Linked DNA regions of Stegostoma tigrinum. The protein of the gene in region 3 binds, or shares a complex with, the protein of the main gene of each other region. Links are inferred from orthologs where the notes say so. Each region holds a gene or a part of one and is shown on either strand. Other genes may lie near its edges. The genes, in order: dennd1b; arf-GAP with coiled-coil, ANK repeat and PH domain-containing protein 2-like; rab35b; rusc2.

Evidence for each region.
Region 1: the proteins of rab35b (region 3) and dennd1b are in contact, whole or in part, in a crystal structure (PDB 3TW8), measured with the Homo sapiens proteins. The link is inferred for Stegostoma tigrinum from reciprocal best matches to the Homo sapiens genes RAB35 and DENND1B. Residues at the interface, in NP_006852.1 of Homo sapiens: Lys10, Leu12, Ser17, Ser36, Tyr37, Ile38, Thr39, Thr40, Ile41, Gly42, Val43, Asp44, Phe45, Gln60, Trp62, Thr64, Ala65, Gly66, Arg69, Phe70, Arg71, Thr72, Ile73, Thr74, Ser75, Thr76, Tyr77, Arg79, Gly80, Thr81; in NP_001182144.1 of Homo sapiens: Met1, Arg4, Glu43, Ser47, Phe51, Val72, Leu73, Thr74, Asp75, Ile76, Glu77, Ser78, His211, Glu212, Arg213, Arg214, Gln242, His243, Ile244, Ile246, Leu249, His252, Leu253, Asp255, Tyr256, Cys258, Ala259, Pro260, Met261, Pro262.
Region 2: the proteins of rab35b (region 3) and arf-GAP with coiled-coil, ANK repeat and PH domain-containing protein 2-like are in contact, whole or in part, in a crystal structure (PDB 6IF3), measured with the Homo sapiens proteins. The link is inferred for Stegostoma tigrinum from reciprocal best matches to the Homo sapiens genes RAB35 and ACAP2. Residues at the interface, in NP_006852.1 of Homo sapiens: Arg3, Asp4, Tyr5, Leu8, Ile41, Gly42, Val43, Asp44, Phe45, Ile47, Lys58, Gln60, Trp62, Phe70, Arg71, Thr72, Ile73, Thr76, Arg79; in NP_036419.3 of Homo sapiens: Val715, Ala718, Asn719, Ala720, Asp721, Val723, Thr724, Arg727, Leu728, Arg730, Met731, Glu734, Met735, Ser738, Glu748, Thr749, Gln751, Arg755, Asp756, Gln759, Met760.
Region 4: the proteins of rab35b (region 3) and rusc2 are in contact, whole or in part, in a crystal structure (PDB 6IF2), measured with the Homo sapiens proteins. The link is inferred for Stegostoma tigrinum from reciprocal best matches to the Homo sapiens genes RAB35 and RUSC2. Residues at the interface, in NP_006852.1 of Homo sapiens: Asp4, Tyr5, Leu8, Phe9, Lys10, Ser22, Leu26, Asp30, Ile38, Thr40, Val43, Asp44, Phe45, Lys46, Ile47, Lys58, Gln60, Trp62, Thr76, Arg79, Gly80, His82; in NP_001129471.2 of Homo sapiens: Val997, Lys998, Asn1001, Asp1005, Val1008, Thr1013, Arg1015, Lys1020, Glu1119, Glu1155, Leu1158, Leu1159, Gln1161, Pro1162, Leu1165, Leu1166.

What each region holds. Positions count from the first base shown.
Region 1 is NC_081361.1:37,117,150-37,124,867, forward strand, and holds the start of dennd1b (DENN domain-containing protein 1B), read right to left. Parts: upstream 3,014-7,718; 5' UTR 2,801-3,013; coding exon 2,784-2,800; intron 1-2,783. UniProt on the Homo sapiens protein: Guanine nucleotide exchange factor (GEF) for RAB35 that acts as a regulator of T-cell receptor (TCR) internalization in TH2 cells. Acts by promoting the exchange of GDP to GTP, converting inactive GDP-bound RAB35 into its active GTP-bound form.
Region 2 is NC_081367.1:42,733,688-42,740,721, forward strand, and holds the start of arf-GAP with coiled-coil, ANK repeat and PH domain-containing protein 2-like, read right to left. Parts: upstream 3,014-7,034; 5' UTR 2,901-3,013; coding exon 2,848-2,900; intron 1-2,847. UniProt on the Homo sapiens protein: GTPase-activating protein (GAP) for ADP ribosylation factor 6 (ARF6). Doesn't show GAP activity for RAB35.
Region 3 is NC_081379.1:44,705,663-44,712,605, forward strand, and holds the start of rab35b (ras-related protein Rab-35b), read right to left. Parts: upstream 3,013-6,943; 5' UTR 2,909-3,012; coding exon 2,857-2,908; intron 1-2,856. UniProt on the Homo sapiens protein: The small GTPases Rab are key regulators of intracellular membrane trafficking, from the formation of transport vesicles to their fusion with membranes.
Region 4 is NC_081354.1:131,899,535-131,906,762, forward strand, and holds the start of rusc2 (AP-4 complex accessory subunit RUSC2), read right to left. Parts: upstream 3,008-7,228; 5' UTR 2,895-3,007; intron 1-2,894. UniProt on the Homo sapiens protein: Associates with the adapter-like complex 4 (AP-4) and may therefore play a role in vesicular trafficking of proteins at the trans-Golgi network.

The DNA.
Region 1 (7,718 bases), on a different chromosome or scaffold from region 3:
TAAATGGACAGGTGTTGCACCTTCACTGGTTACAGGGGAAGGTGCTGTGGGGTTGTGGGGAGTGTTGGGCGCATGAAGAAAGAGTGGACCAGAGTATCCCAGAGACAATGATCCCTGAGAAAGGTGGACAGGAGATGGGAGGAGAATATGTGTCTGGTGGTGGTACCTTCTGGAAGTGGTAGAAATGACGACTGATGATCTTCTGGATGTGGATGCTGGTGGGATGTAGTTAAGGACAAGGGTAAAAGGATCAAAAGATGCTTGCTATGAGAACATGTTTGTTGTGGTCATTTCCAGAGGATAAGTTGGGCCAAGCGGAGGACGGTGATAGTGGATGGATGGGTCCAGATCTTTGCTCCATGAAGAGGCGGAGAGCCTTGAGACCCCCCTGGTGGGAAACGGACATGTAAAGGCATTGTGCGTCCATGGTCAACAGGAGGCAGCTGGAACCTGCAAACTGGAAATTCTAAAACTGGCATAAAGTGTCAGAGGAATCATGGATGTACATGGGCAGGAATTGGGCCAGGAGAGAAAAGACTGGTGATGCTGAAGAGGCATGAAGAGATGAGTTCGGTGGGGCAGGAGCAGGCTGAAACAATGGGTCTGCCCAGACAGTCCTGTTTGTGGATTTTTGGAAGAGTTAGAAGCGAGCTGTGCGGCGCTAGGGGACTATTAGCTTCAAGGCAGTGGAGGAGCTCACCAAATGAAATGAGGTCAGTTACCAAAGCTGATACAATGGCCTGATGTGCCATGGTAGGGTCATGTTCCAGTGGAAGTTGTGAGTAGTTATCTCAGAGCTGGTGCTCAGCCTCTGCATTGTAGGAGTCAGTACACCAGAGTACAACAGCACCACCCTATTGGCAGGCTTAATAACAAAGTCAGGGTTAGATCTGAGTGCATGGAGTACAGTCAGTTTGGAGGGAGGTAGGTTGGATTTGGTGAGGGAGGCAGAAAAATTGAGGTAACCAATCTCACGTCAACAGTTCTCAACGAACAGATCGATTGCAGGTAAAAGGCTGAAGACAGGGGTCCCAGTGGAGGGAAAGTGTTGTAACTGGGCGAAGGGGGTCTGTGGAATGGGGAGAGGATTCCTGTCCAAAGAAATGGTGAAGACAGTGGATGAAGAGTCAACGTCAAGTTGTGCCGAAATTCATTAAGGTGGGGACATAAAGGGATAAAGTACAGAATGTTAAGCATCAGACAGCGGAAGGTTCGGAGAGATGGTGAATAACCAACAGGAGGTGGGGTTGGGGGAGGGGATGAGTCAGGGGGAGGGGAAGAGAGGGTTGGTTCAAATTCTTAGAAACAGTTCAAAATTGTTTCAAAAACTTTAACAGTTATGACAAGTCACTTCCAATCTTCCTGGGAATATCTTCCCACTGCACTTGCTTGTGTGCTTAATAGGCTAATTTAATCTACTTTGCAAATCCTTCAAACCAGAATGAATTTCCTCTGGCTGAAATTAATTTATGTTGGGCTATTACATTTTGGCACAAACTCTGCAAAATTGAATACAAGGCCCTGACTAACATCCATCACATTCGGTTCATGATCTAATTTCCACAGACGGATGGGAGCAGCCAGAAAGATTCTCAACCCCTTTCGATCTTTCATCGTTACACAGAAGGCATCATCATGTCTGGTAAGGTAGTGAAAAAAGTCACACTGCATGAGGAAATGAAGCTACCAACACCCTACTCCTCTTGCAAACCACAAAGAAACAACACCGACTGTCATTTCAACACAACCTCAAAATCCACAACAATTTCAGACCAGATTCAGCAGAAATGCACCAAAAATGTATCAACTCATTTTGGTCTCCAGAACTTCAAAGCTGCATTAGCTAGTGACCTCTTTCCACATTTCATTAGAAATGCTCAGGGAGAAAATTTCCACAGCAGCATTTCAGGTTTCATTCAGCGAGTACGAAAAGTCTATTGTATGAAGTGTGACAGCAGGTGTTCATGGCTGGTTCTCCAATCTTATCTCCTGGCCTGAGTTATGGGAAGAGAACCACTTCTGCTAGTTCTTGTACCCACACTGTACTGCCATTCCTAAGTGGTTTTCCAAATACTGGTATCCTGGTGGAAAGATGTCAAGATCACTTATATGACTGGTGAAAGTCCTCATATTAATAAATTCCAAACACTTCTGTTAAGGAATTTTCAATCATTTCTGGTTTTATGGCCACTCTGTAAACCCAAGTTATTTAAACTGTCACAGACTGGATTATCCTTAGTTTATTTGCTCATTCAGACTGCAGTTTATCGCCAATCATGCAGGTCTGTTTTGCAGATATAGCCAATGGAGAATGGCATTTTTCTGAAGCAAAAACGAGAGACTTAATTATTTTGCCATTTTCCTAACCTGAGTCGTTCTAGTTTTCATTTAGCGTACTGATGAATGAAAAGAACTAATGTAAGAATGTGCACATCATTTAAGATAAAATTGCAAGGAGAAATGCAACCCCCTTTTTGCTTTGCAAACCCGGCAGTGTACAGTATATTCTGGTTAAATGTGAAATGTTCCGCCTTCACGGTCAGCAATCTGATTTGGCAGAGAGAGAGAGAGAGAGAGAATGAGTACAGGCCTGAAGCCTCCAGAAATCAGCAAAACCAGAAACACAAACGCTTCTACTCTGCAACAAAAGCCAATCCTACCAATGATTGTAATGTGCCCCAGCCCCAGCCCCAGCCCCAGCCCAACCAGGTGCTTCACCCTTGTGGAAGTCTCCAGCTCTCAATGTACCCAGCCCAGGATCCCGACCTTCCCCAGTCACTCACTTCAGTCTACAGTCCATGGTTACGGCATCTCGGTGCGACTCCCCCCCCTTGGTGTCTCCTCTGTCTGTCTGTGTCCCAGCCGCCAGGGCAGCCCCAGACGTACAGACTGCGCTGTGGCTAAAAGAGCAGCGCGGCTCTTGATTCGGCTTCGGCTCCTCACTGAACCATTGCCCTGCAGCCGCTGTTCCTCCACCAGGACCTCGCCAACACACACACACACAAGACAAACTAGGAAGTTAGCACTCACTGACAAGAGAAGGTTAACAACGTCACCTGACTGAGTCCAACTACAGGAAGCTCACAAGAGTGATCTCACTCAAGTGGATGAAATGTACGGTGGAATGAATGGACTTAGTTTTGTAACGAGTAGATTGAATCTCGCTGAAAATGAACATCAACATTAGCTGGAGAAAACAAATCAAGCAAAATAAAAACGTCCAGACGGGCGTTCTGTACCTATATTATCGCTGTCTTTTTTTTCGAAATTATCTTCTTCGTTATTTTTCGGGCCCAACTCTGTTTATTTAACCTTAAACCTCAAATCCCAATGTTGCTCAACTCTGTGGCTCGTCTTCTACATCCACAAGGAAGCTTACCGCCACCCCGGCCCCCGAAACGAAAAAGTCATCAAAGTGTTTTTATTTAATAAAAAGCTGTTCCGACCAAATATCAATTAATGCCGAGGAATTTCCCCATAAATAGTCCCAATCGGGCAAATAATGCACTCAATCCTGTGTGACACCGCGTCAGGAGGGCCCCATGTCATCGCAATTTTCTACGAGCGTGTTGCCGTAGTTCTGAATGATGATTTGGCATGTCAGTGTTGGCACACCGATTTCATTACAGCATGATGGGTGTGAAATTGCCCATCCTCTTGCACTGTGAAAAGCAACTTGGATATGAGCTAGAGTTTCTTCCTCTAAATATATGACAACAGATTTTAAACTACACAATCAACGTGCTGTCGCTGACAATAATGCGAACAATATACCATGTGATAACGGCTGGTAAATATCAACTCAGGAAGCAGATTGTCATAACATTAATGCATATATTTGCTCTATTGCATTTTTCTAAACACAGTGTCGACATAGAGACCACAGACTTTTTCTATTTTGATGTCTGTGAAGTTGTCTTCAGACTGCTGAGTTCAGGGATGAGTTTAAGAAATGACTTGCAAGAACCCACATTACACTTACTCAGTATTACTTGACATATTTAAAGATTCACGAGTCATCAAATATAAAATAAAGCAGCAGTTGGAAAGATTTATTAGAATGGGGAATCAAATGCTTAGCAAGAGTTTTAAAACCAGACTTAGAGACAGAATGAACCAAGGAACATATATGACTCAGTGGCTAGCCCTGCAGCCTCACAGTACCAGGGTTTGATTCCAGCCTTGGGCAACTGTGCGAAGTTTGCATATTCTCCCAGCGTATGTGTTGGTTTCCTCTGAGCGCTCTAGTTTCCTTCCTTCCACAGTCCAAAGATGTGCAGGTAAGGTGGATTGTCCATGCTAAATTGCCTATAGTGTCCAGGGATGCACAGGCTATGTGGATTAGCAATGAAAAATCAGGGTAACAGGGATGGGGTGGGAGTGGGTAGGCTGCAGTCTGGGGGCTGGTGTGACTTGATGGGAAGAATGGCTTGTTTCCACACTGTAGAGATTCTGTGATGAAGAGTGGTCCATGAGGCAAAGAAATTGTGAAGGATCTGCAACCTGACTCTATCTATCCAACATTATCACATTTGTTTTTATTCATTCATCGGACGTAGATGTCACTGACTGGGCCACCGTTTATTGCCTATCTGTAGTTGTCCTTGAAAAGGTAGTGATGGAACTGCTACAGTTCCTTTGCTGTATGTAAACCCTCAATGCCATCCAAAATTTTGGTTCAGCGACAGTGAAGGAACAATGATATATTTCCAAGTAAGGATGGCAAGTGGCTTGGAGGGGCACTTGCAGATGGTGTTCTCATGTATCTACCACCCTTGTCCTTCTACATGGAAGTGATCGTGGTTTAGAACCATCGTGAATTTCTGCAATGTATCTTGTAGGTACATACTGATGCTACTCAGCATAAGTGATAAATAGTGGGAAAGAATATTTGTGGATATGATGATTTTACTTGGATGGTGTCAACATTCTTGAGTGTTGTTTCCAGGAGTTTTTACCCAATCTGCCTGAAAATCCACAATGGGCAGCCAAGCAAAGCATTTTAAAGGACAATTGATGCCTAATTGCCTGCAGCAATATAGTCTCCTGTATCAACTGACCTCATAAATGGAGCCTCAAGGTTGAGTCAGGTATAGCCAAAGCTAAAGGAATTCTTGGATAACAATGTGTAGAGCTGGATGAACACGGCAGGCCAGGCAGCATCAGAGGAGCAGGAAAGCTGAAGGGCTCAGACCCGAAACATCAGCTTTCCTGCTCCTCTGATGCTGCCTGGCCTGCTGTGTTCGTCCAGCTCTACACCTTGTTATGGCTAAAGGAATTCTTGCTCTCTCCACACTGATTGTGCAAGCAGCTCTGAGCCTTTTCACCACTTCCATTTTGATGCGCCATTGTAGTTCCTATCTACCTCAGTAGTGTCCGCCTCTCTCAATGTGGCAAGAGTCAAGATATTCTTATGTTATCTCCCTTTGCACCAGCGACATCCATATCCCAGCTGTTAGCCTTTATTGGAGCGAATATGTTTTCTTGACCTGTTAATTGGTTGTCCAGGATGCACCTCTGACATGAGTACTCACAAATGGTTCCACCAACTTAATTTTTTTTAAAGTAGAGCAGATTCCACCCTTTGTGTGTTTCCAAAATTCATTCCTGAAAGGTCTGACTAATCATTAACTGCACTGTCCTACACTTGACAACTGGTGGAATTTATTTCAATGAATCTGCCCAACTATTCCTTCAATATCTTTCAATCTTTGATCATTAGAAAATAGTCCATGCTTGTATTCTTCCTACCAAAGTGCATAATCTCACATTTCCTCACATAGTATTCCATCTGCCTTTTCTTTGCCTACTCTTCTCACCTGTCCAAGTCCTCCTGCAGTCTCCTCGCTTCCTCAGCATGACCCACGCCTCCAAATATCTTTGTATCACTCGCAAACTTAGCAACAATGCCCTCAGTTCATTTGTCATAATCATAAATGTGTAATGTGAAAAGTGTGGTCCCAATTGTGGAAATCCACTAAACACTGGCTGCCATCCTGAAAAGCCCCCTTTGTCCTTGCTCTTTGAATCTGGCGGTCAGCCAATCCTCTATATATGCCAGTACCTTGCCTTTAACATAATAGGCTCTTGTATTATTTATCAGCATCCTGTGCAGCACCTTGTCAAAGGCATTCTCGAAATCCAAATACATCATGTCCACTGACTCTTCTTTGTCGAACTTCTTTGTTACCTCTTCAAAGAATTCTAACAGATTTGTCAGGCGTGACCTCCCCTTGATGAAGCCATGCTGGCTCAGCCCTATTTTACCACACACTTAAAGTATTCTGCAATCTCATCCTTGATAATGGATTCTGAAATCCTAACAACAATTGAAGTCACATTAACAAGCCTATAGTTTCCTATATGCTGCCTCACTCCCTCCCACCTTAAATAGGGGTGTTAAATGATCCATTTTCCAGTCCTTTGGTACTGTCCCTGACTCTAGTGATTCCTGAAAGATCACCACTACAATCTCCTTAGTTATCTCCTGCAGGACACTGGGTGGTCCGGTCTGGGTGATTCATCCACCATCAGACCTTTCAGTTTCCCCAGCACCTTCTCAGTGATAGCCTCTACACTCACCTCTTCCCGGTAACTCTCTTGAAGTTGTGGTATGCTGCTTGTGTCTTCCATATATAAACTCTTGCAAAGTACCTATTCAGTTCCTCCACCATTTCTTTGTTCCCCATTACTACTTCTCCGGCCTTGTTATCAAGTAGTCCATTAAGAACTGTTGCTTCTCTCTTCGATACTTAAAAATAACTCTTCCAATCTTCTTTTATATCACTAGCCAGCTTAATCACATATTCTCATCCCCCATCCCCATTGCTTTTTTAGTTATCCTCTACTGGTTTTTAAAGGCTTCCCACTAATCTTCACCACACTGTATGTTTATTGTTTTGCTTTTGCGCTGGCCTTGACTTCCCTTGTCAGCCATGTTTAATTCATCTTCCTCTTACTGTGCTTCTTCCTCCCTGGGGTGAGATTTCAGCTGTGCTCTGGAAATACATCCAGAAACTCCTGCCATTGCTGCTCCACCATCTTATGTCGTAGAATCCCTCCAGTGTGGAAACAGGCCATTCAGCCCATCAAGTCCACACCAACCCCTCCGAACCACTTCCCTACGTTTCCCATTGCTAATCCACCTAGCCTCCACATCTCTGGACACAATGGGCAATTTAGCATGGTCAAGCCACCTAACCTGCACACCTTTGGACTATGGGAGGAAATTGTAGCATCCAGAGAAAACCCACGCAGACACGAGGAGAATGTGCAAACCGTGCACAGACACCTAAGGGTGGATTCAAACCTGGGCCCTTGACACTGTAAGGCAGCAGTGCCAACCAGTGAGCCACCGTGCTGCACCTTCCTCGCAATATTCCTCTTCAAGTCAACTCTGGACAGTTCCTCCCTCATGTTTTTGTAATTGCGTTTATTCAATGATTATACCATTACATCTTCTCCCTCTCAAATTTCCTCATGAATTCTATCATATTAAGGTCACGGCCCCCAAGGTATTCCATCACCTTAAGCCCTCTTATCAAGTCTGCTTCGTTACACATCACTGTTCCCTAGTGGGTTATGCCACAAGCTGATCCAAAAAAAAATCTTGAAGACATTCCACAAATTCCTTTTTTTCAGCTTCACAACCAACCTGATTTTTCCAGTCCACCTACATGTTGAAGATCCCTCTTGGTGATTATAATAAGGTCTTTCTT
Region 2 (7,034 bases), on a different chromosome or scaffold from region 3:
GCCACAAATATTTTGATCAAGCAACCAGTCTTAAGCATACTATTCTTAAAAACAAAACTACGAAAGGAATTTGTGGTTCTATGTTAAAGTAATGAGAAATACATTGCAGCCAACAATCAAATCTGAAATCTCAACGTGACATTCCCCATAAATTGTTCAACTTTGGTCACTTGCAATTTAAGTCATTCTCATTGGAGATCATTGCACTACTAAAACAGGAAATATTTTAGTTCCACATTTATAAATTCAACAGGCAAAGTAAGGAATTTACTTTCAAAGCTAATGAAGAAAACAATGCAAAATGGAAGCCATGTTTCTTGGTTATTCCTTTTGCTTGCCCAATCACATTTTACTCTAAGCAGTCGCCAAAACAAAAAAAAATCCATATACACGATTGAGACACTGAAGAAATTAACAATGCCCTTTGTACTGCAGCTCTGGAGTTTAAAAAAAACAAACAGATAGGTTGAGAATATTTGCACATTTTAGCTCCTACTGCACATGATCACACATGCCAAACTGAATAACCACCTCATGGTAAAACAAGTGGCATCAGATGCTGCAACGTGTATATTGCCATTAGACAAACTAATGTTTCTTCTGAACGTACGATTATTTGGCCAACATACAACTTGATTGCAAGAACTGGTGTCAACACGGACAAAGTGAATTATCAGCTGAACAATAAGATTCAGAATCAGATGAGCAGATTAAATTGCACTTCAGAACTGAATACAAAATACAGACTAATCAATCAATACCATGAATGTCCTTGCCAACGAAGAGCCACAATCAACACTGCCAAAAAAGTGAACACAAGAAAGTAAGAAATAGGAGGAGTAGGCCAATCGGCCCTTCGCACCTGCTCTGCCATTCAGTAAGATTACAGCTGATGTTTTCAGACTTAACCACGAGCTCACCATAACCCTTAATTTTTTAAGGTTCAAAAATGTCTTTACCTTAGAAAGATTCAACAAGTTAGCCTCAACTGCCTGGATTCCAGAGATTCACAACCTTTTGGGTGAAGAAGTTCTTCCTCAACTCAGTCCTAAACCTGCTCTCTCATTGATGTTACACCCCCTAGTTCTAGTTTCACCCAGCAGTGGAAGCAGCATCAGTGCTTCTACCTTATAGAAATATAAAAATTATGAAGAGAATGGATAAGATGAACACCCCACATTCTTCTAAATTTCATTTAGTGTAGACCCATTCTTAATCTCTCCTCATAAGCCAATTCTCTCAAGTCCAAAATCAGCCTAGTTAAACAGTCTCTGCACCTCCTCCCACACCAGTATATCCTTCTCAAATAAGGAGTCCAAAACTATGCACAGCACAATATACAGTTGCAGCATAACCTCCTCGCTTTTGCACTCCATCCCTCTAGCAATGAAAGACAACATCCAATTTGCCTTCCGATTACCTGCTGCACCTGCAAAGCAACTTATTGCCATTCACACACAACAATGCCCATGCACAGCAGCATGCTGCAATTCTTCATCATTTAAACAAGTCCACTTTGCTGTTATTCCTACTAAAACAAAATGGCTAGCCTCACATTTACCAACATCATGGTACATCTGCCAGACCCTTGCCCACTCATTCAACCTATCCATATCCCTCTGCAGGCTTTCAACATCCTCTGCACACTTTGCTCCATCACTGATCTAAGTGTTATCTACAAACTAACACTTTTCACTTGGTCTCCAACTCAAATCATCCACGCAAATTGTTTACAATTGCAGTTCCAACACTGATCCCTGAGGCACATCACTCACCACTGATCGCCAACCAGAATAAACACCCATTTACCCGACTCTTCCTTTCTGCTGGTTAACCAGATCAATGTTGTTGTTTTAATGAGCTCTTGCTATGCAAGATGGCTGCAAAATTATCTACATTAACAGTTAAAATTAGTTCAGAGCTGCCGTGAAAAATTGAAAGGTAGCTGAAATTAGACTGTTTACCAGAGGAGAGGCACAAACAGATTGGTTAAGCTGAACACGTTTGCATGCCAGTAGCTATATTTATGTAACATAAAAACTTCTCTTTCTTCACTTTCATGAAGTCAAATTCACAGTAAACTCAAAGTGACTCTTTACTTAAAATCAATAAAGAATCATGTCTACAGATGTGAAAGATCAGACTGGATGCTAATCCAAAGCAAGAAAACACAAGTGAATTTTATTGTTTTCAGAGCAAAAGTTAGAAATTTTAAAGATTAAAAACCTTCCAACCTTTTAGAATTGTAAATTCAAGAATTATTCCCAAAACATTAAATGCATCTTAATAATAATGTCAATGACATCAAAAAAATTCAGACATCAAAAACTTTACAGTAGCTGATTTTAACAATTTCAGCCATACAAACCTCATAATGAGTGTATTATAGATACCTGTACCAACCAACATTGAGAAGTGTTAGAACAAGAATGCAAATCAAGGATAATTGGATTGGTAGCACAAGGACCATCCCATCCCTTCCCTTAAAAAAAACTGCTGGGATCAGACATTTACACTATAAACATGAGCGCATAAGATGGCCAAAAACAAAAGACAGCTAACTTTATAGAAAAAAACTCACAAAACTTACAAAGCTTACAATTAAAATTTAACTGATTATTACTTTGGATACGCATACTACGTAGAGTTTGCTGAAATACGATTTAAAACAGCGAAGGAAAAACAAACGATAAACAAGATCGAAATGAAGCACAGATCCTCCTTTCCAGCTTTACAAACAGAAGCACTCTAACACGACCAGATGGGAGAGGCATCCGGAGAGGGAACTGAGCGACAAGGCATTCCTGCCCACAATGACCAAGGATCATTACTGGAACAACGGCCTACCTGAAACGTGGAGAGTCGTTCAGACATTCATCGAAATCCACTGTCAACTTCATAGCGCCTGGACACAACCTACCACGAACCACCGTCCTCGCTCGCCGTCCGCCGTCTATCTAACGCGCAGCCCCTACCCCCACCCGCTACTCACTCGCTCTCGTGCAGCCGGGCACACGAGCGCTGTGATTGACAGCGATCTAACCAATCAGAGCTGCCTCGTCCAACCAAGGCAACCAACCATGTGGCGGAAGTGGCAACAGCCGCTCTCCCTGCGGGGAGTGAGTCCACAGGCCAGTCCGACCCTGTCCTGATCCAGTCCTGGATTCGGCTCGGGGTCCGGTTCCGGCTCGGGGTCGAAGTCCAGTCCGGGACTCAATGCAGAGCTAACACAATGTGGAGCTGGAGGGACACAGCAGGCCAGGCAGCATTAGAGAAGCAGGAAAGTTGACGTTTCAGGTTGGGACCTTTCTTCGGAAATGGGCTTTAATATAGGACTCAAATGCAAATGACAGTGATTTATCGTCAAGAGTGTTCACCAAAACAATCGAGTGGGAAGAGGAAAAGGTAAAATATTTACAAATAAATGATTTTACGAATGATCGAATGAGTACCGTAACAGTAAATAAAGGTTACCATTGTCGCCATCTGTTGGGACATTTCCATAGTTTGAGGTGTATCTTCTGGAGTTCTGAACAAGACCATCTCTTATTGAATAAGAACAGGAAGTGCTGGAGAAACTCAGCAGGTCTGGTAGCATCTATGCAGAGAAAGCAGAGTTAACGTTTCGAGTCCGAGGTCACCCGGCAATTTCTGCTTTTGCTTCAGAATAGTTGTTTTTTATTTTTTTTTAAACAAACTCTTGTTTTGTTTTGTTGATTGGCTTAAAGGTATCTAGCTCACAGAAGTCTTTTTTCGTTTTAGATATTTGCGTAGTTACTTAATTCACAAACCATTCAAAAGTGTAAAGGTTCCAATGAAATCGCAGATCTGTTATACATTGGTTCTAACAAATTCCCGAACTTGGACAGAATGGAAAATGAAGTAGAAAAGTGAATAATGATATGCTTTTAAACAGGGTTGCAGTCAATTGGACAGTAAAATACTGGTCTAAATTTAGAATAAGATGTTTGACGTTACTGAAAAAAATATTTCTGGGAAAAAATACAGGTCATACGCAAAATCTAAACAATAGCTTTAAGATTGTTTATTATTGCCCCCATTATTCAACACTTATGTTAACAATAACATTAATGTTTACAATAAATCATGAGCCAAACTTTTTTGGCTCCACATAACATGTATGACATATAACATAAAACAGCATTGCAATTAGTTCTCACCAGTAGAAAGACTTGAAGAAAGAAACATAATGAAAGTTAACTTCCATTTTCATGATTTCTTATGATGGAAAAGTCATTATGTAGTTTGCAGAATTATATTGGTCTTGTAATGTCTGCATTATTTCAAATGTACACATTTTGCACAATGCTATGCAGCTGCAGTGTGATTTCCTATGCCACAATATCAGATAGTAACAGATATGAGAAGGCTTTTGACCAGCTTCATTCAACACTGCAGAGACCTAATCCCACCAGCATCGACCAACACTGTCCATATTTGTTTCTTAAAATATCTTACTTATATTGCCAACTGCCTCTCAGAACTCTTATGCATTGATCAATCTTGGTCTAAAAAGAATTTCCTGCTTTCAGTTAAATTAACCTTTTGTCAAGTTTATGTCCCTTTATCTTAGTGTCAATATGAAAATGTTATTCCAGATTTAGCTTTTCCATGATCTTACCTACATAATAAATATACACACATGCATAGTAGTTCACAAACAAAACTTGCATTGTGGCTGGACTAATTGGGCCACTTTTGAAATACTGCATGCAATTCCAGTCTCCCTGCTATAGGAAGGATGTTGTGAAAAATGAAAGGATTCAAAAGAGATTTACAAAGATGTTGTCAAGGGTTGGAAGGTTTGAGCTATAGGGAAAAGCTGAATTGGTTGGGGCTATTTTTCCTGACGCATGAGAGGCTGACCTTATAGAGGCTCATAAAATCATGAGGGGCATGGATAGGGTGAACAGACAAGGTCTTTTCTGGGTGAGGGGGTGTGGTGAGTCCAAAATTAAAGGGCACAGGTTTAATCTGAGAGGGTAAAGATTTAAGAGAGACCTAAGGGGCAGCTTTTTCACGCAGAGTGTGATGCGCTTGTGGAATGAGCTGCCAGGGGAAGTAGTGTAGGCTGATACAATTATAACATTTACAAGGCATCTGGATGGGTATATGAATAGGAAGGGTTTAGAGGGATATGGGCCAAATACTGGAAAATGGGACAAGAATAATTTTGGATATCTGGTCAGCATGGACAAGTTGGACAAAAGGGTCTGTTTGTATGCTGTAAAGGTCTATGATTCTATAACAGGATTGACCTGTGTGCAGTTGAGTCTGATTGTGTGTATGTATGTGTCAATACAATATCTCCTTTAAGGCAAGGTGATCTGGAGATTATACTGAAAGATGGTTAATTGGTTCCCTGTTTAAGACAGCATTAAGTTCCAAGAATTGCCCCATTGGCCCCTCCTTGTAAAGGGGATGATTAGTGAGGAAACAAGGGAACGGAGGACTACAACATTGCAAGAACATATATAAGTAACAACACACGCCGATAAGGAAACTCTAAGCCTCTAGTCTTATTGTCTTACTGGAGGCAGTACTATAACCGAAAATACTGCCCAACCTGATTGTTACCTAGGCCAAGTTTTCCCAGAACAGAGTTAAAAATGTATCTCTTGGAATTTGGACAGGTAACCCAATTACAAGGGAAAGACCCTATCACCAAATTTAGTTTATTTTTGATCAAATACCCATTTTCTATGTTTCCTTTTTATTAGCTAACACCAGAAGATTCATTCAGTATAGATATTTCACCTAACCTAAATCATTAAATTCATTACCGTTGAGCTGTTAGTATCAATTACCTACACTTCAAACTCATTCTGAACCTAACACTTTCAAGCATCAAGGTAATATGACTTTCTTGTTTGATGGATACCCTTACTTTCCTTTAAGGTCCTGAACTTGCATTAAGTAGAGGTTGAAGTTGCATCCCCTCATAGAAGTAAGAACAAATTATCCTTTCCTTTTCCGGGAATGAGGTACTGATGACTGTATCTAAGAAGTGTCTCTGAACAGATCAGTAAAAATAAAGATTTTCACTGCACAGTCAGTAAGGAGCACAGTCAGTTTGAAGGAGACTTCACTTGAGTCAGACAAAGGCTGAGTGGTGAATTGGAAATTTAATTCAAGTGGGAAATTGATGCAAAGGGCAGCAGAAGTGTTTTATCTAAGGGTTTACTGCAAGAATTAAGTGCTATAGAATGAAAGGTGACTGGTAGGTAATAAAAGGAGTGGATCAAGAGGTCTAACTGCAGTGATATCAGAGACAGATGGATGTCATGAACCACAACATGAAATGAGAATGTGATTAGTGAGTAGAATTGATGGCTATTTCTGGACTTTAAGAACAGAAAGATGAAAAACACTGGATACCTGAAGATATTGTTTCTTTAGAAAAAAAGAGAGAGCTGGGTAACTATAAAGTTATAGTGGTAATTTTTTTAAAATCTGAAAATATCATTACAGTGAAGTAATTAGTTTATAATTTAACTCATTACATGAGAGTTGGCAGGACAGGTGACGTGTAGCTGTAGCATGTGGAAGATTCTGGGCACCAATGTGAACCAGAGTGAACACATCTTTAGTAAATATTTGCAGTTCAGAGATTTTCAGATCCTTGTTGACGTGCTGGACTCTCAGCTATGATATTGCACCATATCAGGGAAGGGGAGAGTTACCTGAAGGCATTGTTCCAGAAAGTGATCCCATCCCTGCAGACTAGATAAGTCAAATTTGTCCGTGACCTGTAATAACCACTGGGGAAGGTATGGTGTTGCAGGGGTTGCATCTGAGGCACCTTGGCCACTGAATTTGTCCAACAGCTACAAAGTTCTTGTAAGCTGCATAAACATGAGTAGGGGCTGCTGGGAGAATGAGTGAGTTGACCACAGCACTGTGGTCCAGGAAGCCATTCAAGTGAGGAGAGAAAATATAAATGTAGTAGTGGTAGGGGACAGCATAATTAGGGGGCTAGATCATTTCTCTGTAGCTGTTAAGAGGGAATCCCG
Region 3 (6,943 bases):
CTGCTCTCATCTTTTCTTGATTTTAGCCAGAGAATCTCCTACAATGGCTTCTCTTTTCATGATATCACCTCAGGAGATGTCTAAAGGAGATTGTCCCTAAAGGAGATTAAAAGCTAAGGTAGAATTTTTTTTTGAAGAATAAAGGAACTAAAGGATACGGCGAGAGCGCAGTTAAGTGGATCTGAGTCCATGAAAAGATCAGCCATGATCTTACTGAATGGAGGAGCAGGCTCAAAGGGCTGGATTACTCCTGTTCCTAGTTCTTATGTTCCTTGCATGGCACCTCTCAGTGACAACAAAAGCAGAGTCAAGTTCCACAAGCAGACCGTGAACACCTACCTCTATCTCCCCCAGCACTTGCCTCCCACACCCGAAAGATGTCTTGTTTGACAACCAGTTCTGGGTAAGAGGGATTTTCTCCAATTAAATATTACAGATGCTCAAGCCACGATCTGCAGCTGCCATGACAAACTCTACTCCCAAGTAATCCGTGTCATCTCTCACTCTCTCAAGGTTAAGCACATTATAAATTATGCCCAAGTTGTCTAAGCCTTAAAATAGAATTCCCCACTGTGTTCACGTTTAAAACCAATCGCAGAAAAAAACCTACTCCATTCTTTGGTTTGATGTTAATGAGACAGTCAGCCAAAAATCAAATGGCTTGAAATGCTGTGTGTTAGAGGCGCTATATAAATGCACGTTGTTTGGTATTAACAATTTCTTTTTCCAAAACAGGACAATGCAAAACAGTATCATGTTCAGACTCTTAAAACAAAGATATCTTCACATCACTAATGTATATTCTAGAAGACCAGCACATCAACCTAATAACAAAGCTAAGCCAGTAAAGTCTCCACTTACAAATCCGTTAACTAAAATATCAGGAATTGGTGAAGAGCTCCCATCTCTGAAACATATCTGACAGACGCCTGTGCACCTTTCATTACAAAAGCCAGCATTGTCTCTTTCTGCACAAGAAATTTTAAGACTCTTTGAACCAGGATGGATTGGTATGCTGGACGTTCTCTCTCACTCACCGACATACTGTCACTATATCTCACAGATTGGCGTGTAGAACACAGATAACCCCTGGATACCTTCACTCAAACTTGCTCAATAGCTAGACTCTCAAACACTGACTTACCCTAGGGAGAGAAGTCAAAGAAGCAGATCCACTGATTTCATTCCCAGGTCCCCTCAAACTCTGGCCTGGTCTTTTGGCTCAACTGCCCACTGGTATTTAACTCACCACTTTTTGGTGATCAAAATCAATGACTTAAACTTAGTTGCACAGGGCACAATTTAAAAAAAAATACAAGTGATAAAACTTGGATGCAAATTGAACTATGGAGAGTGTAGAAATAAACAAGCTGGCAAAATGCACAGACACAAGGCAGATGAAACTTAATGCAGGACAGCAAGGTGATACATTTTGGCAAGAGGCGGCAATATAAACCGAACTAACATGGTGCATGGACAGAGACATGTGGTTTAATGTGCACAAATTGCTGGTGGCAACAAGGCACACAGATAGCAGTTCATAGGGTATACAAGATTCTCAGCTTTAATGATTAAAGGCATAGAATACAAAGCAAATAAAAATTTTGATGAACCTTCATAATGTACTGGTTCCAGCATCAACTACTACCCCTCACAGACTTCAGAAGGGATGCAAAGACTTTATAAGGGCACAGCAAACATTTACAAGAATGGCTCCAAGGACAAAGGACTTCAGTTAAGTGGGATAGACTAAGAGAAGCTGCATCTTCTCTTTTGGAGACAGGATTCAGAACAGATTTGATACAGGTACTCAAAATCATGAGAAGTCTACACAGTAGAGAACACAAACTTTTCCCAATGGTAAAAGATGGAATTTAAAGTTAAAAACACCCACCTAACTGGCACAGACATGCTGGGCCGAAGGGCCTCTATTTGTGCTGTAGTTCTCAACAATTCTATTGCAAAAGAAATTGGGGTGCAGAGGAAACCAATTTAACCTGACTGGTAAAAAGGAACCAATAGCAACATTAGGAAGAGCCTCCCCCACCCCACACAGCAACTGGTTAGTATCTGTGTTGCACTTCCTGAGTATATAGTGGAGGCAGATTCAATTGTGACATTCCAAAGACATTCAGATGAATACAAGAGCAGGAAAAAAAATTGCAGTGCAGCTAACCAAGCTGGAAAGCAGTCTGTAGAAAGCCTGGGCAGCTCAGGATAAGTGGCATCATTCTCTGCTGTTATGATTCCAAGATTCCCTTACACTACTCCTGGTGTTGCTCACACTCACCAACACACAAGCACAATCATTAGTTGCCAACACTTAACTGAGACTACCACAATGAACTCAGCCCACAGAGACTCCTTCCCTAACCTCCATGCTCCCCAGACTGCCTCCCACAACAGCCCTACTCCCGAGACTCCCCCTGCCTATTAGGCTCCTTCCCCTATCACACCACCCCGACCCTCCCCTAGACTTGTCCCCTTCCAACCTCAGGGCTAATTCCCTCCATTCCCAACCCCAGACTCCCTGATCCTACCCACCTGCCAAGCCAGACCCTCACCCAGCCTCTACCATCAGACTCCCTCCCTATCCCTACTTCCACAACCTCCACCCATGTTTCCCCTGTCTGTTTCCACCTCAGGAGCTCGATAATCTCCGGTCCTCCACCCCAGGTATGTTCACTGGAGCGCCGCAAATCCCTTCTCAAAACTCGACTTCTGACAAAAAAAAAAGTATCTGTCCAGTCGGCTGCGGCCTGGCTGCCTCTGGCTCCCCTTCCTCAGCCTGTGCAGACGTAGGGCCCGGCCTGTTTCCTGTCGCCGCCGCGCTCGGTTTCCCCGGCTGCTCCTTACCGCTGTCCCCGATGATGAGCAGTTTAAAGAGATGATCATAATCCCTGGCCATGGCAGCGGCGCTGAGCAGACAGCTCGGTTCAGTCTCTCAGTGGCGACGCCGCTTCCTCCGGCTGTTTGTGCAGGGCGGCTGCGACTATCCGGCTCCCGCTATGATCGGCTCTTTCCGGAATTACTCGAGTACACCCGCCTTCCGGAAATAGCACCGGCTTCCATCACCTCGGCTTTTTCCGGAGTCGCGCTGCGCCCGTCTCTCCGAGGGCCAGATGTTCGGCTATTTCCGGCACCTTCACTCCGAGGCCCCGGCGTTCGGTTCTTTCCGGCTCCGTCGCTGCGAGTCCCAGGTGTTCGACTTTTTCCGGCAAATGTCAGCTCCGCGGGTCTTGGCTGTTTTCTTAATGGTTTGGTTTTTACCTGTCGGGACTTGGAGCATCTGGTTGAAAAAGTTTCAGATTCCTTCTAGACGTGATGCTTCTGCGACCGCGATCTCTCCCAGGAAAACAGATGTTACTCTGAACCAGGTAAACTAACACAAAAGACCACTCGGCCTATCCAAACCCTGCTGGATTTCTGCAAGAGAAAATCAGCGGTTTCCAGTCATATTCCCACCCACTTTTCCCTGTACCTCCCAACCAATTTCTCTTCAACAGCACACCCAATTAACTTTTGAACTGAATTTGCTAAAACCGTCTTAAACTCAGGCAATATATTCCGTTAGAAATAGGAACAGAAGTAGACCATTTAGCCCCTCAAATCTACTTCATGTTTCCCCTAATAATTAAGAATGTATCAAGCTGAGCCTTACAAGGACTCCGCCTCCACAGCTCTCTGTGGCAAGGAGTTCCAAAGACTCACAACCCTCTGAGAAGAGAAATTCCTTCTCATCTGAGTCTTAAATTGGCACCCCTTCATTCCAGGACAATGCCCTTTGAACCTAGACTCTCTCATGAGGGAAGCATGGCCTCAGCATTTTACCATGTCAAGCTACCTAAGAATCCTAGCTATATGTTTCAATCAGATCACCTCTCATTCTTCTAAAATCCAGTGAGTAGAGTCTCAACCTGTTCAATTTTTGTTCATAAAACAAACCCTTCATACCAGAGATCATCCTAGTAAACCTTCCTTCAACTGCCTTCAATAATATCTTTCCTTACATAAGGGGACCAAAACTGCTCACAGTTCTCCAGATGTGGTCTCACCACCAGTTACAATAAGATTTCTTCATACTCTGATCCTCTTGAAATAAGGGCTAACATTCCATAAGCTCCCTGACTTTTGCTGCACCATGTGCTAACTTTCAGGGTTTTGTGCAAAATTACACCCAGGCCCTTGCATTTTCAGTATCCTCCCCTCCACTGCCTCCAGCCTTATTGTCACCCAACCCTGCACTGTCTGGTTCTGCCTGCTTCCCAAGATTCACAAGCTCAACTCCCTAGCTGACCCGTTGTCACCTCATGCTCCTGCCCCACCAAACTTATCTCTTCCTACTTCGACTCCATTCTCTCCCCTTTAGTCAAGGCACTACCCCCCATCACCGCCCCCCCCTTGACATCTAGGACACAAACCACGACCTCCACCTCTTTAGAAACTTCCAGTTCTGTAGCCCCCAGCACTTCACCTTTACGATGCAATTCGCATACACATCCATACCTCACAAGAATGGCCTACAGGCCCTCAGTTTTTTTCCTCTCCAACAGATCCACTCAAATGCCACCCACCCCATATCTTCCTGTGCCTTGCCGAGCTAGTCCTCATCCTCAATAACTTTTCCTTCAATTCGTCCCACTTGCTCCAAATCCAGGGGGTTTCCATGAGCACTCGCATGGGCCCCAGCTAAGCCTGCCTCTTTGCCCGTTATGTCAAACAGTCCCTCTTCAGTACTATACTGGTACTGTTCCCCAATTGTTCCACTATTACATCAATTGATGCTGCATCCTGCACCCAGGCTGAACTGGAGCAGTTTCTTCATTTCAAACATTTCTTCACTCAAATGGTAGTGAACTGGTGGAATTCTCTACCACAGAAGGCAGTGGAGATGAGGCTACTGCAAATTCAAGAAATAGATAGTTTTTCTTAGATTTTAAAAGCATACGGAGAAAACAGGAATAAGGCATTGAGATAAGAGGAGCAGGCTCCTCGTTTTTGACATGAAGAATGAATGAATCCTGTTTTCATCTGTTAAAATTGCCCACCAAAGGGCTGTTATGGTGCAGTGGTAGTGTCGCTGCCTGAGTCAGTTCACGTCCCAGAGATAGTGTGATCTGCAGATACTGGAGAATCCGAGATAACAAAGTGTGGAGCTGGATGAACACAGCAGGCCAAGCAGCATCTTAGGAGCACAAAAGCTGATGTTTCGGGCCTAGACCTTTCATCAGAAAAGGGGGATGGGGAGAGTGTTCTGAAATAAATAGGGAGAGAGGGGGAGGCAGACTGAAGATGGATACAGGAGAAGATAGGTGGAGAGGAGAGTATAGGTGGGGAGATAGGGAGGGGTTAGGTCAGTCCAGGGAGGACGGACAGGTCAAGGGGGCGGGATGAGGTTAATAGGTAGGAAATGGAGGTGTGGCTTGAGGTGGGAGGAGAGGATAGGTGAGAGGAAGATCTGGTTGGGGAGGCGGGCACGAGCTGGGCTGGCCACTAAAGACATTTTTTCATCCCCACCCTTGTCTGCCTTCCGGAGAGACCACTCTCTCTGGGACTCCCTTGTCCGCTCCACACTCCCTTCCAACCCCACCACACCTGGCACTTTCCGCTGCAACCGCAGGAAGTGTTACACTTGCCCCCACACTTCCTCCCTCACCCCCATCCCAGGCCCCAAGATGACTTTCCACATCAAGCAGATGTTCACCTGCACATTCGCCAATGTAGTATACTGCATCCGCTCTACCCGTTGTGGTTTCCTCTACATTTGAGAAACCAAGTGGAAGCTTGGGGACCGCTTTGCAGAACACCTACCCTCGGTTCACAATAAACAACTGCACCTCCCAGTCACGAACCATTTTAACTCCCCCTCCCATTCCTTAGACGACATGTCCATCATGGGCCTCCTGCAGTGCCACAATGATGCCACCCGAAGGTTGCAGGAACAGCAAATCATATTCCGCTTGGGAACCCTGCAGCCCAATGGTATCAATGTGGACTTCACAACCTTCAAAATCTCCCCTCCTGCCACTGCATCCCAAAACCAGCCCAGCTCGTCCCTGCCTCCCTAACCTGTTCTTCCTCTCACTTATCCCCTCCTCCCACCTCAAGTGGCACCTCCATTTCCTACCTACTAACCTCATCCTGCCCCCTTGACCTGCCTGTCCTCCCTGGACTGATCTATCCCCTCCCTACCTCCCCACCTATACTCTCCTCTCCACCTATCTTCTCCTGTATCCATCTTCGGTCTGCCTCCTCCTCTCTCCCTATTTATTTCGGAATCCTCTCCCCATACCCCTTTTCTGATGAAGGGTCTCAGCCCGAAACGTCAGCTTTTGTGCTCCTGAGATGCTGCTTGGCCTGCTGTGTTCATCCAGCTCCATACTTTGTTATCTCAGTTCAAGTCCCACCTGTTCCCGGGGTGTAATAAAACAATGATTAGATAGTGATGATTAGAAAATATCAAAAACTGCACACTATTCCAGGATTAACCCAGAATACCAAGATAATGCCAGTTTCTTTTCTTTGTAAACTGCACTCGTGCAATCCTGTTCTTTACCCATTCTTGCTCATCCAGTCATAGCCAGAGCGTCAGCTTCTCTTCCCACTTCTGCAACATCAGTTCTGGTGTCCCCCAGGGGTCTATTCATTGTATTCTACTTCAAATTCATATGCTGCTCTTGACAATAGCTTCCACAACAAGTGTCAGTTTTCACACACAGACTGATTACATTTAACTATTAAGACAGAAAGATTATTTTCACATTTATCCACGTGTTTACTCACTTTAGTACTTTTCTCAACTGTCTCTAAATTGCTACATTAGTCATCAGGTATATGAGCAGAAATTTCCTTCAGCTAAATATTGGAAGTGCAAAGCCATTTGTCTTTGGTCATCACCACAAATCTGTTCCCTAATCAGACTTTTACCTGGCAACTGATTGTG
Region 4 (7,228 bases), on a different chromosome or scaffold from region 3:
TATGCTTTTATTGGTGACTCAATGAATGATCAAAGTCTGTGCATGAGAACAGGGTGGCCAATCAGGAGTAGATTCAGAGGACCAGGAAAGCTGACGTTTCGGGCCTAGACATACTCCATGCTGATGTGTTGCCTCTTGGGTCTAGGCCCGAAACGTCAGCTTTCCTGCTTGGCCTGCTATCCAGCCCTACACCTTGTTGTTCTCCAGCATCTGCAGTTCCTACTATCTCAGGAGCAAGTTCAGGTTAGTATGTTCTCAGGTTTTTGAATGACTAAGTGAAAATCACTGCTCCATGAAAAGGACTCAGCAACAAAGCAGGGATTATTATGTAGGGCAAACTTTGGTCAAAATCTTAGAATTCCCTACAGGAATTCCTTCCAGCAGTTCAAGAAAGCATCTCAAGGACAACTCAGGACAGGCAATAAATGCTGGCCAGACTGTGATGCCCACATTCTACAAATAAATAAAAGAAAAATTCCATTTCCATTCTAATGGGCTAATCATTGAAGTGAAAGAAAACAACTACCTCCACTTACAGATACTGTTAGTGGAGGATGACACACCTGCACACTACTGTTCCCTCCAAACCTTGGGAGATCTTCCAATACTCATTCAATGTGCTTTGTAAAATTTATGAAGCATATCGAAAATCTTGGGCACAGAATGAGACAACTGCCCCAAAAATATCAATCCAGTCTACCCAAAGTAGCCATAGATATAAAACAAAGAACTGTGGATGCTGGTAGTCTGAAACAAAAGCAGAAATTGCCAGAGAAACTCAGCAAGTCTGGCAGCATCTTTGGAGAGAAAGCAGAGTTAATGTTTCAAGTCCACTAACCCTTCTTCAGAACTGCAAGGACGGAGAAGATTAACAGAAGAATGCAATTCTAATGGAGATGTAAGAACAGAGACCTAGATTGTATGAATTATTGAAGATGGTTAAAAAAGCATACAGGATGCTGGATTTTATACATAAGGGCACAGGCCACAAAAGTAAAGAAGTAATGATGCATATTTTTAAAACACTATCTTAACATGTTAGAAATTGGGGTCTCTTAAAATAATGTTCTCTTTGTATTCAGTACTTAGCATCTGCTGCATAGCAAGAAACTTCATTTTAATTCTGTTACAGAATTAACCTTCCATACACATTTACAGAAGATTTATCAGGCAACACGCTATTTGACCCCATATGAAGCATTTTGGAAAATACATTTTTGTTCTTAGAAGAAATGAAAACTAATGCTCAAATAGAGGCAGACAAGGGTAAATCATCCTGGCACCATGAACAGCTGCCCATGATCACTGGCTGAGAGAGCTTAGACAGGTGATCGAGGCAGCATAGATTACAGCCCCAAAAATATCAGCGGTGTGGGGTATCGTAGACATCGAGGCTTTATTTTGAGATTGTAATTAAATGTGTTGAATAATTCTCAAGTAAACTGACAGCTTGAGCAGCACCAGGGTGACTACTACTTCCGCACAACATGAGGGACCCAGGTTCGATTCCAGCTGTCTTTGTGGAGGCTGCACTTACCCGTGACTGTGTGGGTTTCCTCCAGGCGCTCCAATTTACCCCCACAGTCCAAAGATGTGCAGGTTAGATGGATTGGCCACGCTAAATTTCCCATAGTGTCCATAGATGTGCAGGTTAGGTGGGTTAAATATAGTAAATGTGGGGTTACGGGGGTAGGGTGGGATGTTCTTCAGAGGGTCTATGCAGACTTAATAGGCCAAATGGCCTCTGCCTGCACATTAGGGATTCTATATGATTTAGAGATAGCAGTTTATGAGAAAGTTTGATTCTGAAAACCAGGGCAGCTGAAGCAAAAAATATATTAGAAGTGGTAGATGTTTGTGATGTGGATTACAAGTCTATTCTTTATAGACTTTCAATGAAGGCTCAGAAGGGTAAGATCAAACTTTTTTAAAAAAGTCTGGAAAAAGGTGACCTACTCAACCAAATGTGCACCTTGCAGCTAAATGAAAATACAAGGAGTCCAAGGAACAGGTTCAAAGTGGAAGTGGCAGCTTACATACTCAATTAAGGCAGGAGGGAGAAACATGCAAACAAAGCACACTATTAAAAAGAAACAAAAAAAATTCAAACATGATACAGAGTTACATGCAGAGAATGCATGATTGCAGGATAAGGTAAAGGATGAGTAAATCAGAGAATTAATTCAGAAAAAAAACTTTGCTTCCCCTGAAGCAGACCACATTCCATATATAGACAAAGTAAACAATCTCCAGAAAGAAATTAGCTAAGCAATTATTTCTGCATTCTCAGCCAGTAGAATAAAGTGACCATGCTGAGATAGCAAGTACAAGAAATGGTTTCCTTGGTGATTTCAGGCATCGCTGGGACAATGTAGTTGAGAGCAATCCTTCCTCTCTTGTATGGTGAACCAAAACTGGTTTGTATGATCACAAAAGCCATGGTTAAAAACTAAGCAAGAGGGAAGCAAAGAATGGCCACCGGGTAAAGTTAAAGAGGAGTTCACAAATGCATACAGACCCGTCACCAGCCCAGGCTAGGACCATGAGGGAAGAATTACAATAAATTTTTGACTTTATCTATCATCACGTGTACCGGAGTAAAGGAGTACTGTGCAAGCGTACAGGCTCGCCATTCTCTGGTGTCATTTTAGAATATAATAGTTAGAACTAAAAACAAGAAACAGAAGTTAAAGAAACACAATTGAAAGAAAGAAAAAATGTCCAGGTCATCCTTACTGCTGCTGCTGCTGCGAGTCTTGAGCCAGGCTCATCCATGCTGCCCACGCTGGACCCACCAACATTGCCAACGCCACGACCTCAAATTCTGCGCCTCACCGCCACCTGCAAAGGACCCACTAACTTTGAATTCGCCATGCTTCGATGCCATTACTCACCCCTGGGCCCAACTCGCAGACGCCAACATCTTGGAATCAATTGCAATATCAGACTACACAACCTTCCTGAATGTCCCAAAACTTGCTGCTGTCGCCGATGTCACCAGTTTCACCGCTGCCAAACTCCCAGAGGGATAAGGTGAGAGAACTATAAAGAGCAAAGTAGAAAGAAAACAAAAGCAGAAATGGACAGAAGAAAGCAGTAGATGAGCAGAAGCCCAAACACCGCTACTCCACGTCTGTCATCTTGACATAGATATGGGAGTAGACATGAGTGACAATATTCTTCTCCTCAGACCAAAGTGTTTAGAACTTCACATCTGGATCTAGAGTGATGCTTTTAAATGATCCCCCACCTAACTGCTCCCTATATATTAGAAGAACTGAATAGGGATATTATGGCAGAAGACCTGCTTAAGGAATTAGAGTAGTACGCACTGGAGGAAGCAAACCTTGCTTTTCACCAAATATTAATTTTTACAAATATCAAACTAAAACCCTACTAAAAGTCCCAGTGTGTTTGCAAAGAGGCTTCAATGCTGCTACCAAAAGACCCGGTCAGCGGAAAGGGAGGAACCCAGACGGTTGCGGGGAGAAGGGCAGTGAATCCTGTGACTTCTCAAGTTTCAAATGCTTCTCTCTGAAAGTTATTGTGCATTTGGTGTACATGCGATGGGTTGATTGGTGTGCTAACATAGCATGAGGACTGGTGTGTAATAACCTTTGCAGCAGTTCCGGAAATGCTAACCTACCAGATGTTAAGAGCTCCTTGCCCAACCAGAAGTCTGGATCACCTAACAACCTTGCACAAATAAGGGGTATAAAATTTCGTACTTCCACTGTAATCACCTGAGTCCTTACACTCATGGCTGCCATTGTAAACAGGTTTTTGAACAGCCTGACAAGGAGAACAAGTTCTCCATTCTACCTCCTTTACACGAGTTCCACCCAGTCAAACTGTGTTCAGAGAGAATAGAGGTAGCAATAAAGCCCGTGAGGATCAGACAGGGAACTTGGCAGGTTGTCAGTAGTGACCCAAACCTTAGGCTGTTATAACTCTTGTAGGCCTCCCAGGTGGAAACGGTGCCTTCTCTGCTATACAATGGCTGTGGAAGACCAATACTTTGTCTTGTTGATAGGGGAGTATTTCAGAATTAATGTTAGCCGATTACCCTGCGACCACAATCCAGGACCCCTGCCCCGACTCCTCAAAACTCACCCAAAAACAAGATGCTGTTCATAAGCCTCAAAGATTTAAAATTGCTTTGAGGAAAATGTTAAAAAGCTTAGATTGGTGTTCGAAAATATGATGAACACCTATTTAAAATGCGCATTTATAAGTTTCATGAAAAAAAAAATGTTTGACGTGTTCCCAAAAAATATAATTAAGCTAAGGTTTTGCAGACATTCAATTTGAACACTCCATTTGTTCCGGTTTTCAAGAGAAAGAAACTGTAAAGTGATCTGAGCAAAAGAAATGCCAAAATGAAGAGCAACATGACATCATTTGGTGAATGTTACATCTCGATCTTCCTCAGAACAGCACAGAAAGTTAGCTCTTTCTCATGAGTTGTAAGATTTTAAAAACTGTCTCTTTATATATCCTTAGATCTGTAATTTTTGTACAGGACTAAATTTTGGACACTCCCAAATTGATAGATATCTTTGGACATTATTATCCCATTGAGCTTCTTCCAGAGCCACAAAAACCACTTAGGAACACAGAGAGACACTCCAAGAGTCTAATGGATTTGGGAATTTACCTAGGAATATCAAATGCAAAAGGTTTTCAGAGACTGTGCCTTGGCCAGTCTGGCCATCTGTTATCTAGTTGTAGCTCCAATACAAAAGCATAATTTAAAGCCATCAAACATGAACATAACTATTTCTGAATAATGCTTCAGTTGATGCATTACTGCTGGGACTGAACTATAGTCAGGGGCACTGACAATAACTGGTATATTAGGTTGAGTTTTGTAAATTAAATGGCAGTGCAGTTCAGCAGCCTTAAACTTGAAAATGCTGTATTCCTTTGAAAAAGGAGCAGTGTGAGCCAGGAAACAGTGGGCTGCACGGAATGAAAAGAATTTAAAAGCAAAGCTGTTTTGGGCCCTTTTCATAATAATAACTTTAAACAGGCTGCATAAATTTTGTTACTTCACAGAAGCAACCAATTAATGTTAACTGAAGTACTCGAGTTGTCTCAGTCTTATTTTGTCATACTGATTATCCGACATTCAGTACTACAAGGACAGACTCCCCCGCCAACATAGGGAAGATTATCACTCTGTACAGTCACTGTCTGTGTCAACAACTGAAGACAGTGGCAATCTTCCCAACCGGTCGACTCAGTTCTTTAGTGACTGACTTCATCCTGTTGTTAGCAACTGAATGAAGCTGAACCAGACCGCCTGCAATCATGGCTGCTCATTTAACCCTATAATGAGTTTCAAACCAGTTAGTAACTTTGCAAACGGCACTAAAATTAGTTGCATTGTACACAGCGAAGAAGGTTTTCTAAGATTACATGGGGATCTTGATCAAATGGGTCAATGGGCTGAAAAATGACAGGGGGAGTTCAATCTGGATAAATGCATTTTGGTACAACAAACAAGGGTAGGGCTTGTACAATTAATGGTTGGGCCTTGGATACGCTAATAGAACAAAGGGACCTAGGGGTGCAAGTACATAATTCTTTGAAGTTTGCGTCACATTTAGAGAGGGTGGTTAAAAAGGCATTTTGCACACTTACCTTCATTGCTGAGTACAGGAGTTGGGACCTCATGTTGAGGCTTCACAGGACATCAGTGAGACCTTTTCTGGAATACTGTGTCAAATTCTGGTCTCCCAGAACAGGAAGAATATTATTCAGCTGGTCAGGGTTCAGAAGAGATTTACCAGGATGTTGCTGGGTACGGAAGGTGTGTGTTATTAAGAAAGGCTGCTTAGGCTGGGACATTTTTCACTGGAGAGATGAGGTTGCAAGGTGACCTGATTAAAGTTTATAAGACAAGGTATAGACAGAGTTAATGATAGTTATGTTTTCCCTAGGAAGGGGGAATATCAAACAAGGGGGCACATTTTTAAGTTGAGACAGGAGTGATTTAAATAAGATACAAGTGACAGATTTTTTTTGATAGAGAGTGTGGAATGAAATTCCTGAGGAAGTGGTGGATACAGGTACAATTATGACATTTAAAATACATTTGGATATGTACATGAATAAGAAGGATATGGGCCAGGAGCAGACAGGTGGGACTAATTTAGTTTGGGACTACATTCAACATGTTCTGGTAGGAATGAAGGGTCTATTTCCATGCTGTATGATTCTATGACCATGCTTGTCAGCTTCCAACTTTGTAACATTGTCCAAATATGGCCTTGATTCAATTTCAGCTGACCGACTTTAAGCCTCTCATTCGTTGTTTCCTTATTTCAATATCTATTCCAATGCTTTCCTGGCTAGTTTCCAATTTTCTTTCATAAATTGCTTGAGATCATCCAACATTCTACTGCCAATGTTCTAAATCAAGAAATGGTCTGGTTCATCCATCTTACTGATGTACTCTAGCTCCCCATTAGGGAACAAATTCACTTTAACATTTTAAATCCCCAACTTGTCTAGTGAGAAAAAAAGCTAGCTCTTCAAAGCTATTATGTCTACATGAGGAGTTTGCAGTATAAGTCCAATGCTCATCCCTCTGAAACCATCATTGAGCCTTTATAGAACAAAGAAAATTACAGCACGGGAATGGGCCCTTTGGTCCTCTGTGCCTGCGCCAACATGCTGCCCATCACAACTAAAACCCCCTACCCTCCCTGTTTGTATATTTGTCAAGACATCCTTTAAACATTGCTATAGTATCTGCTTCCACTACCTCCCCTGGCAGCGAGTTTCAGGCACCCACCACCCTCTATGTAAAAAAAAACTTGCCTCATACATCACCTTTAAACCTTGCACACCGCACCTTAAACCCATGGCCCCTGGTAACTGACTCTTTAACCCTGGGAAAAAGCTTCTGACTGTCCACGCCCTTCATAATCTTGTAGGCCTCTATTAGGTCACCCCTCAACCTCCATTGCTTTAGTGAGAACAACTCAAGTTTCTCCAAACTCTCCTCCGTAGCTAATGCCCTCCATACCAGGCAACAGCCTGGTAAATCTTTTCTGTGCCCTCTCCAAAGCCAGCACATCCTTCTGGTAGTGTGGTGACCAGAATTGAACACAATATTCCAAATAGAGCCTAATAAGATCCTATAAAGCTGCAACATTACTGACCAATTTTTAAACTCAAAGCCCTGGCTAATAACAGCAGGCATGCCGTATGCTTTGTT